2 linked regions of the Mus musculus genome follow. The protein of the gene in region 1 purifies or fractionates together with the protein of each later gene. This does not show direct contact. Links are inferred from orthologs where the notes say so. Each region holds a gene or a part of one and is shown on either strand. Other genes may lie near its edges.

Region 1 (5,232 bases):
TCTTTTTCTAATACAAATAAATGTAAGACTGGAGTGGTGGCCTGGTGGTTAACAGGCTGCTCTTCCAGCACGCCCGTGTGAGCTCACATGGCCTGTAACTCCAGTCCCAGGTGATCCTCTCTGACCTCTGCAGGCATCAGGCATGAACACAGCATGTTTACATATGCAAACACAGCATGTTTACATGTAGGCAAAGAAGCCATTCACATAAAACAGAATGAAAAAGAAGTCTGAATGAGCTGAATAGGGAGGTGCTGCCTGCTATTCAGCCACTGTTGAAGGTGAAGCGGGAAGACCACACACTTAAGACCCACCTGGATACAAATAGAGTTCAAGGCCAGCCTGAGCAACTTAGGAAGAGCCTGTCTCAAAGCAGGAACTCAAAGGACCTAGGGATATAATTCAGAGGTAGACCACTTGCTGAGCATGCACGAAGTCCTAGGTTCAATCGCAAGTTGTCACCAAGAAAGAAAGAAGGTAAAGTGGGGGAAGCCTCAGGCTTAGACAATGTGTGCTGCCTGCAAAGCAAATTTTAGAAGGCAGAGGCTCTGACAAGCCATAAAACCTAATAAATGAAATCCAGGCCCCATCACAGAAACACGTCACTCAGACATGACAAAACGAAGCTCTTGACCTACAGGGACTTGAGGGGAAATCAAATCCCTTCAGCATGAGCCAGGAGGCAAAAGGGAAAGGGCCTCCCTCCATGAGGAGCCTGGCCTGGGAAGCTGCCTCTAAGAAAGCTCTGCAACTGCTCCTGCTTGGCTGGCAGCAGTGCCCCGTGCCTCGCTTTCCGCTATTTTATCTTTCCCAAGTATACAAACCATACCCACCACCAATTCATTCCCCTACTCTCCCAGGAAAGCCCTGTGGGGAACCAACTAACTTCCACCCCTTTTTAACAGGGCTTTGGGTCAGGTAGCCAATGCATTTAATCCCAGCACTGGGAAGTCAGAGGCACACAGATCTCTGTGAGATCAGGACTAGCCTAGACTACATAGTGAGATCCAGACCAACCAATCACACTTAGGGAGATTCTCTCAAAAAAGTAAAAGTTTTGAAGGGTTCCAGAACTCCACCCCTACCCCCTAGGGAACCTTGGCATTAGGTGCTGGTAAACTTGTTGAGCCTCTCCGGGGAACCAGGCCCCATCCTTACCCCTTTTCTAGACTAAGACACTCAATCTTCACAAGAACTGCAAGGCACAGTGACAAGGACACTGCAGCAGGACAACCCTAGGAGCCAGGCCCACCAGGTCCACGGCTGCAAAGGCCTCCTCTAGCCTCTGCCGGGAGGCTCCGCAGCTGGTCCTCCGAGAGGGTCGGGTCGCTGACTTGAGCCACACTCCTCACTTTACATATCTAAGAGGAAGTGTCACTGGCTCTATATGTGCTCCTTAAAATGCCTAAGATGCATGATATGACTTAGACTATATCTGGAACATCGGCTACTACAAGAGCGCATGAGCTGTTCACACAGCTATGTGACCAACGTGTAGCATGGGGCGGACTGGCCTCAAAGACAGAGTTCTCTCTTTCATTTACCTGCCTGTATTCGCTGCCGAGAACTGACCCAGGACAAAATACCTATGACAGTGTTCTTGTCCAAGGGCTGATGACTCCTTCTTTAGCAACCTATGGCCTTAGAGGGAGCTGTGGTGCTTTTATTGCTCTCAGGAATTCTGACTGTGTGAAAGGCAGCAGGCTACAGAGGAGAGGCTCATTTCTGTAGAATGAGTCGAATAAACCAGGAGATAAGAATATCCAATCTCTTTTTCTCTTCTTATAAAAGAAAATATAATTTAACCTCACATCTTGGAAGATAAATACATAATAAGAAAACAAGCCATAACTGTTTCGGGGAAAAGTCAAATTAATTTCATGGCTTAGACTCGAGTTTAAGGCCTGTGGCAGAGCAGTCAAAAATGAGATGAGCAGAAGGAATAACATTCCATAACTTACATTCCAGATGCATTATCAAATAATTAAGAGTGGCAAAGTTCGTTAAGGAATATCTGCAGCCTAGATTTGAGAGAAAATACCACTTCGAAAGTAGAATAGCACAGCAAAAAGAAACTAACTTGAAATTTTACCTAGATAAGGAAATATAAAATAGCTGAAGGCTTGCCTAAGGGCACTGTGGAAGTAAAAGACAGCACCAGGGACGGAAAATTCGTCCTGTGGCCCTGGGAAGCTGGCAGGTGACTGTCTACAGGGACCAAGAAGACCACCCCTCCTCCTTTCGCTTCCCACGGGGGTGGGGTGGGGTGGGGTGGGGTGGGGAGGGCTGCAGTTTCCTAGTCTCATTCTTTGCTTACTGGAAGGCCAAAATTGGATGGAAATTAACCAGAAAAGCAAGAAGAAAAACCCGGGTAAATTCCCCTTCAGAAAAACCCACATCCAAGGACAAGTGTCACTCAGAGAAGCTAGAGAGAGCCGGCTCTGGTCCCCTCCGTACCCAGCCCGCACTGGGCAAGGCACGCGCTCCTCAAACCTGTGACCACCCCGCGCCAGCTGCCGTACAATAGGTCCTTGTGTCCAGCTTAGGGAAGACAAGCTGTCCCGGGGCAGATTCTCTCTTTTCTGTACACACACCCACTTTGCTCCATCCCGGCTGATGGATGCCACCTACCTCCCTGGTCTCCCCTGGTGAGGCACTCCGTCACTAACCGCGCAGCAGCATCCAAGGGAGCCGGGAACTACGCACTCGGACCTGGCTGACTACTTTCAGAGATGGCAAACTTCACTTCTGACTCCCCTGTGGAGGCTCCCCGCTTCCCCGCAGCCCCGTACATATGTCCCAGCCGGTCCCGGTCCCCGCGTCGGCCCGCCCCGCTGGGGCTGAGCGCAACCCCCATAAGGATGGATGTCCCTCGACCCCGGGATCGACCCGGCTGCAACTGCCTTCCGGGTGGGCCTGGCCGAGCGCAGGTGGAGCGCGGCGGGGACCCGACGGCGGGACGTTCCGGGCCTGAACCCTGACCCAGACCCGGACCCCGGACCCCGGACCCATCACAGAGAGCCACTCACGTATCTGCGCACGAGCGTCCTCAATAGACTGCAGTCCATGGTTATCGCTCCCGGCTCCGCGAGCCCCTGGGCTGCGGGCGCTAGCGCAGCCGCCCCCCGCCCGGTCACGGCCTGGGCGGCGCGGGGGGCGGCCGCGGCCCCTCCGCGCTCATGCCCCGCCGGCGGCGGCCAAGGGTCTCGGCCCGCGCGCAGGCGGCTCGGAGGAGGCGGCCTGCGCCCGGCGCTACTCCCGTCGGGCCGACGCGGCCTGCGCTCGATGCTCCGCGCCTGCTCCTCCCGCGGCCGCCGCGCCTCTGGAGCCGGCTCTGCCCCGCTGCGCCCCGCGCGTCACGGGCGCGTGTGAGCATGCGCGCGCCGCAGCCCCCGCCCCGGCCCCGCGCGCGCCGCGACTCCCTAGCGCGTCGCCGCCGCCCTGTTGCTTCCGCCTCCCTGCGGGACTGGGGGAGGGGGGGCGGGGGGGGCTGTCATCGCCCCCGCGTGGCTCGTCGGGTGCTGATCCACCCCTTCTCCACCCCCGCCCCGTTCACTCCTCTTCTAAAACGGAAGCCTGGCTGTGAGCCCAGGACTCCATGGCGAGTGCCATGGGCCTGGGTCCCTAGGCCTGCGGGGGGGGGGGGGGGGTCACACCTCCTGCCGTGGCGTGGACAGAAGACACAGGATCCTCAGGTGGCTACAGGGAGCGAACATTACCACCCCTTTTGGGACTGACTCCCTTGGAGACCAAACCAAACACGTCCTGATCCAGCTCTCATGACTCACTACTCTCTACCTCTACCTACTCCTGGGGCCCAGTCTCTGTCCTGCCTTCCAGAAACCAGGCCTCAGGGAAGACCCTCCACAGTCCTGGGTTTTACCTTGTGGTCCAGCCCCCTGTCAAATGCTTCCTGCTTCTACCTTACAACTGTATCACCATGGCTAGCACCCAGGGAAGGTGGTTCTTTGCTGCCTAGGTGTGAAGTGGCACATGGCTGAACAACCTTCCTTACCTCCAGCCCAGCCGTAATCTAGCTAATGTTTACTGGTTCCACATCCCTTGCTTTTGCTTCTGATAACGGTAGAACCAGAGACGAGGGATCTGCAGTGGCCGATCAGGAGCACCAGACCTGAGGATTAGGAATGTATTTGAGAGCGTTCTGACAGGGTGTGGAGGAGATCTGACTTTGCTATGGTTTGGATTAGACACTGGTGGCAATGGTGCCAGTGACTAAACTGATCTCCTGAGCCACCACCGCCTTCTACCCTGTTTTCTACCTAAGTTCTACACCAGTGCTCACCACGGAGCACCAGCTACAGACACCCAGCCAGCCTCAGGGCAAAGGGTTTTCTCTCCGGGCTTCCTGGACTTGCTGTGAGCCTGGTGGAGTTGGCAGTCAGCGCTCATTGGTACTCCTAGCTGTGGTGTGGACTCTTGAGGACAGCAGGCCTCTATGTCTAGGGACTAGCTGCTGGCCTCAGTGGGCCTGACTGGGCTGTTCATGTGTCTCTGATGCTCTATCTCTTTCCTACCATGACTGCTGGGCCAAATTGTAGGCTATTGGCCAATTACAATTGCAGTGGGTATTCCTGGCACAGATGTGCCTCAGGATAAAGCCTTCCTATCTATCCTTAGAGAATGTTCTACTTGGAGGAATGTTTCATTTCCTTCCTTCCTTTCTTTTTTCTTGTTTGGATTTTTGAGACCGAATCTTCATTCTAGGCTGGTCTCAAACTCTATACAAACATCCTGCCTCAGCCTCTGAAGTGTTGGAACACAGGAGTGAGCCCTGGTGTCTAGCTTATTCTTCATACAGAGCAAAGCACTTCCCTGGTGGTGCAACAGGAGTGAGTGACTTCATCCTCTGAGCCTTCACCCTTTGTGGGGCTCAGGACTCTCTGGCTCCCTCCAGCTGACACCATTCATTCTAGCAAGTGGCTGACTTGCTAATTAACACATAGAGGAACATGCTGGAGGCTGTTTAGGAAGGTTTCCTTGCTTTTAAGAAATCGAGAGTTTATTGTATATGGGATGGATCCCCCAGACATGTTGTGGATGCCAACAAGAGCCTGCTGACAGGAGCCTGATATAGCTGTCTCCTGAGAGGCTCTGCCAGTGCCTGACAAATACAGAAGTGGATGCTCACAGCCATCCATTGGACGGAGCACAGGGTCCCCAATGAAGGAGCTAGAGAAAGGACCCAAGGAGCTGAAGGGGTTTGCAGCCCCA
Region 2 (5,059 bases), on another chromosome or scaffold:
AGTTGTGAGCCACCATGTAGGCACTAGAAATCAAACCTGGGTACTCTTGCAAAGGAAGCCAGTGCTCTTAAGTGCTGAACCAGCTCTCCAGTTCCTCCTGTTCACTTTTAATTATCCTCAAAGGCGTTTAGCCTAAGCTAGCAGCTAACAGAAGGTAGAGGACTTAGTGGGACAGCACTTCCTCGTGGCCCAGAGTTCAATCTCCAGCACACACAGAGAATAAAGAACAAGCATACAAACTTGTATGTCGAAAAAGCTCTCTAGGTTTTTCTAATAACTCCAGACCTAATTTGAAATCATTTGCTACATATCCAACACTCAAATTTTAATCATTCTATCTGCATGTGTTGGTGTTAATACAAAATTTCCAGTAACTCCTAATTTTCATTTTCTCTCATTTCAATTATGGCTTTTTGAACATAGCATTATTTTAAATCAAAATTAAGTTGTGAGTCACAGACTTTCAGAAGTGAATGGCATCTTAAGGATCATCCACTCTAAATCTTTGTAGTATTAAGAGCAGCTCACAAAAAAAAGGGTTCCATCACCACCTAGTGAGAGCTGGAACTTTCGCTCTAGGCCAGCTCTTAACTCCAATGTCCCTCTGTGCCACTACAATACACTCTTAAAATCAGGGGCACACTAAGCACAAGAAATTTCCATTTCACTAATCACTAAGTTTACAGAACCTTACTTTACTTTTCAGAACCCAAAAGTTTTAAAGAAAATTATTTTCCAACTGTAGTAAACAGTACTAGTTTTTTAACAATTTAGTAAATATTCATACACAATCTAAATCATCATTGCTTTCATCTTAATATCAAGTTTAAAGGAGATGGTGCAAAGGTCTAATGCTTAGGAGGTATCCCATTATCTTTCCTATCATCTCAGTAAGGGTCATGATGTAGTGTGAGAGTTTACACCTTGGAATCAGGACATTAACACTCCCAACAGTCCAGCCATCCCTCAGGCTGGTCCTTAGCTCTCATCTCCTGCTGATGGGTCATAACGCACATCTATTTTGCATCTAAGTGTAAAATCTTAGAAGAAATTCATTATCCTATTTATTTTAGAGATGAAGAAACTAACCTTCAGAGAAAGTAAGTCAATTACCCCCCCTGAAATCTAATTAAAGCTGCAGAGCTCAGGGTTTAGGTATGACAGGGAACAGAAGTGTTTTACATCCGAGAAGTTTTTTTTTTTTTTTTTAAAACATTCTGTACGTTTGTATAGTTTTCTCCAGTTGAGCATACCTAATCTCAAACTCTACAATCCAAAATATTCTAAAATCAAAACTTTTCTCCTGCCCAACCTGTTTGGCCCAGAGCTTCATTTACATTTTGGAGCATTTTGGGCTACCTTTGAGTATATCACAAGGCTAAAACCACGAAGATAAAATATATACCAAAAACATACGCTGTGAGCTTGCTCTAGTCAAAATAAAATTTAATAAAAGATTTTTAAAATACACTCTAGATACTATTCTTACTGTCATTAATACTGAAGCACTGTGCAGTTAAAATATATATATATATGTGTGTGTGTGTGTATGTATGTATATATATATATATATATATATATATATATATAAACCAGCTTACTTTAGTAAACTGAACAAAGTCACCAAAGTCCCTAGCTAAAATGACTGGGGACGTCCAATTAAATGTAGTATTTATTTTTAAATTAAGTACACAAAAATATATCTTTACAACAGAAGAAAGCAAGGTTACTCAACATCGATCTTGCCAGTTCAAACAGATGAAAACTCCCTTAATTTGATGGAGGACTTGTGGACGTCCAATACTGTCCGCCACACAGTACTCACATCCTGCTATAAACCCATCTTTACTGATGCGGACGGATAAAAATGCAGTGATTACTGCACCAACACAAATCAAAATGTTTCCCTCAGTAGAGTGTTTCTATCACATCTAAGTAGGATATTCCAAAAAAAAAAAAGTAATGCCAGTGAAATCGTTTATAGCTAGTTTCCAACTTATTTCGTGTGGAATCATTGATATGCATATTTTAAAAATCAAGCAGGAGGAATTAGGACCACTGTGGGGCATAATTAGAAATGAATACCGCCTAAAAACAAACCAGAACTGAAGTTTCATGCCTTTAACTATATCGTGGCCAACAACTAAAAATATCTAATTAGCTCAAAATCAAAGTTACTTGTGTGCGCTCTGTATGACTTAATTTCTTCACAGAAGAATCAATACCTTTATTGACTCCGGGTCCTACACCCAACCAATTTGTTAATCTCTGTGTCCCAGAATAACCCCCGCCCAAATAACAACAGTCTGCCCCTGTGAGTTGCCTCAGAGTTAAACACGTAAATCTAACTCTTTTTCCTCTTATCTCCTCCTAAAAGACATTCACTCTACCTCTCGGAAACCCACGCAAAGCGCCTCCAAAAAAAGTCTCGTCCACCCGACATTCTAGCTGTATTCATTCCATTTCCAGCCAGGTAAACCGAGAGCCAAAGGAAGCGAGCCCACAAAACTGCAAACTCAGAAAAGCCACAGAAGAAACCGAGAAGGCACCAGAGGGCGGGGCCCGCCTGTCACCTTCTGGGAGCCGGGGGATCACTGCCACGCCCCTCCCTCACCTCGATCTCACGGATGTTGTTGGAGGTGACGAAGATGCCGATGCCGATGGGGATGAAGATGAGGCCGATGATGAAGAAGGTGGGCAGCACCGTGCCGGCCGTGAGGATGGGCTGCCAGGCGGGTAGCCGTTGCTGTTTGAAGGCCGTGTTATCCGGCCTCCGGGTCTTGGCGGCGCCCCCGGGAGGACCCGCGGGCCCGCCGTCCACCTCATCCTTCGCGCTATAGTTCATCGCCATCGGCCCCCGGGCTTCGGCTCGGCCACGTCCAGCTGGGCCGCCCAGGGGACTTGCGTGCCGCCGACCCTGACAGGAGACGCGCAGTCACCGCTGCCGCTACCGCCTCCGCCACCCGCGCCGCCACCGGGGAGGCGGAAGAGGCGGGACACGCTTCTGCGGCCGGCCGCTGACCGGAAGCGGGCGTCTTTAGGAGACGCCCCAGGGAGGGAGAGAGAGGAAATGGGGAGATGATTGAGGGACGAGGGGAGGGGAGGGGGAGGAGGATGGAAGGGGGAGGAAAAAGACGGACGCACCCTGATCATCTGCCCTGTGACGACAAAGTGAGGGCTTTAGGCCGGGCGCGCGGCTACGTGAGCGCATGCGCGGCCCGGAGCGACGTCTGCGCACTAGGACGGTAGCGTCTTCGCTTCCCCGGGAGGACGCTTCTGTTGGCGCACACTTCCTGTTGTGGTTATCATGGAGACTTCTGGAGCCGTCAGGTCGGACTCGGTGACCTGGGCTACCTGTAATTTCGGCGCCGGGTTGACTTTTCTTATGACGCCTACGCCTCTTCTGAAGGGAGTTGTAGCGTCCTGGAGTCCACATGTTTAAAAGGATGCAGATCCCTATTGAATTTTAACTCGCCACTCAGTGTGCCTCTATGAATTTAAGTGAGGTATAACATGCGACCCATTTGATATAATAATAATAATAATGATGATGATGATGATGATGCAACCTAGTTTAGCCCTAATCCCTCGCTTCTGATCGATTTTCATTTATTTTTCTGTCTACTTCACATTGGTTTGGGAAGGTTATTGTAAAACATGACAGTGATTCTTTTTTTTTAAACTTGGTAATCAAAAACCAGAACATAATACCACTTGTTTAAAAAGGGGTATTAGTTTTAACCTGCCAAGGAAATTCTCGTTGAGACTATGTGTAATGTCAGCCCTTGAAAGGTAAAGGCAGAGTAATTGAAATTACAAGGCCAGTCTGAGCTACTTAAGAGGCCAGCAGGAAATCCATAGAGAACCTGTCTCAATAAATAAACAATAATTAGTAACTCAAAGACACCAAAGCAGTACAGAGAATACAAAGTGTAGAATTCAACTATAAAGCGTAAGATGCTAACCTCCATTGATTGACTGTAGGCAGGATTTTTTCTTTTCTATATTTTACAAATTTTCTTTTATAAGTGTGTAATTTTGCAAATTTACAAAAAAAATGATTATATAGCATCTACATTTTGAAATTGTGTTTGAAATCCAGACTATCTGACAGTACCTACTTTTAAAAAGTCTTTGTCTACAGTTTTGACTTGCTCCAGTATGTTCTTCTGTGATCTTGGATTTCCCGGCCCCGGGTTTTCCAGACAGGGTTTCTCTGTGTAGACCAGGCTCCCCTCAAACTTGTATAAATCCTCTTGCCTCCTGGGTGTTGTAATTAAAGGCCTGGGCCACCACAGCCTAGCTGATCTCAAATTCTTAAGGCCTCTAGAATCCTTAGGTTTGTATCTTGCTTTAGCAGCCTAAGTTTACCTTCAACCCCATTCAAATGGAAAAGAGTCTGTCATAGAGAGGCTTAGCCTGTTGTCTTAAACGTTCTGTTGGGTAAAATGTTCATCACAGTGTTGGGGATAATCATGGAGTCCTTTTTCTTTCTTTTTCCCCACTCCTGTTTAGATTATCACAGTTAGATGTGTTAGTTCCTTTATTTCTACTCTAGAACTCGGTTTAAATAGTGCTACAACTGAACCTTCAACATACAATTGAAAATATTCAGGGGAAAAAATTGCTTCTGAGCTAGTAAACACGGAGACAATTTCTCATCATTATCTTTTAAGTGGTTATTTCCATTGTACTAAGCAGTATAAATAATATAATCAGGAGACAGTTTGAAGGGTGTGGGGGAGATACATAGGTCATTTACAAGAGCTGCATTTTGTATAAGAGATTTGAGCACCTGAGGTTGTATCCACAAGTTTCTGGGACCTCTCCAGGATGCTGCAAGACACCTTAGTTTGCTTTAAAGCTTTGTTGCTGTTGTTGCAGGAGCAGTGATCTGATGGTTCTTGGTGTGCTTACCTACTTCCTGTTTCCTTTGGTTTGCTCAGAGCAAAGATTAACTGTCTCAGTTTTACTAAAAACTTCACTGGGGACTGGGTGATGATTACACACATTTCCTCCCAGCACTCCAGAGGCGGAGGCAGACAGATTTCTGTGAATT

Evidence for each region. The genes of interacting proteins can lie anywhere in the genome.
Region 2: the proteins of Atp11a (region 1) and Tmem30a purify together in Homo sapiens (co-immunoprecipitation; 4 studies listed by BioGRID and IntAct, with this or other methods). This does not show direct contact. The link is inferred for Mus musculus from reciprocal best matches to the Homo sapiens genes ATP11A and TMEM30A.

Annotation. Positions count from the first base shown.
Region 1 is NC_000074.6:12,755,150-12,760,381, reverse strand, and holds the start of Atp11a (probable phospholipid-transporting ATPase IH), read right to left. Parts: upstream 3,367-5,232; 5' UTR 3,069-3,366; coding exon 3,030-3,068; intron 1-3,029. UniProt on the Homo sapiens protein: Catalytic component of a P4-ATPase flippase complex which catalyzes the hydrolysis of ATP coupled to the transport of aminophospholipids, phosphatidylserines (PS) and phosphatidylethanolamines (PE), from the outer to the inner leaflet of the plasma membrane.
Region 2 is NC_000075.6:79,790,360-79,795,418, forward strand, and holds the start of Tmem30a (cell cycle control protein 50A), read right to left. Parts: upstream 3,072-5,059; 5' UTR 2,852-3,071; coding exon 2,615-2,851; intron 1-2,614. UniProt on the Homo sapiens protein: Accessory component of a P4-ATPase flippase complex which catalyzes the hydrolysis of ATP coupled to the transport of aminophospholipids from the outer to the inner leaflet of various membranes and ensures the maintenance of asymmetric distribution of phospholipids.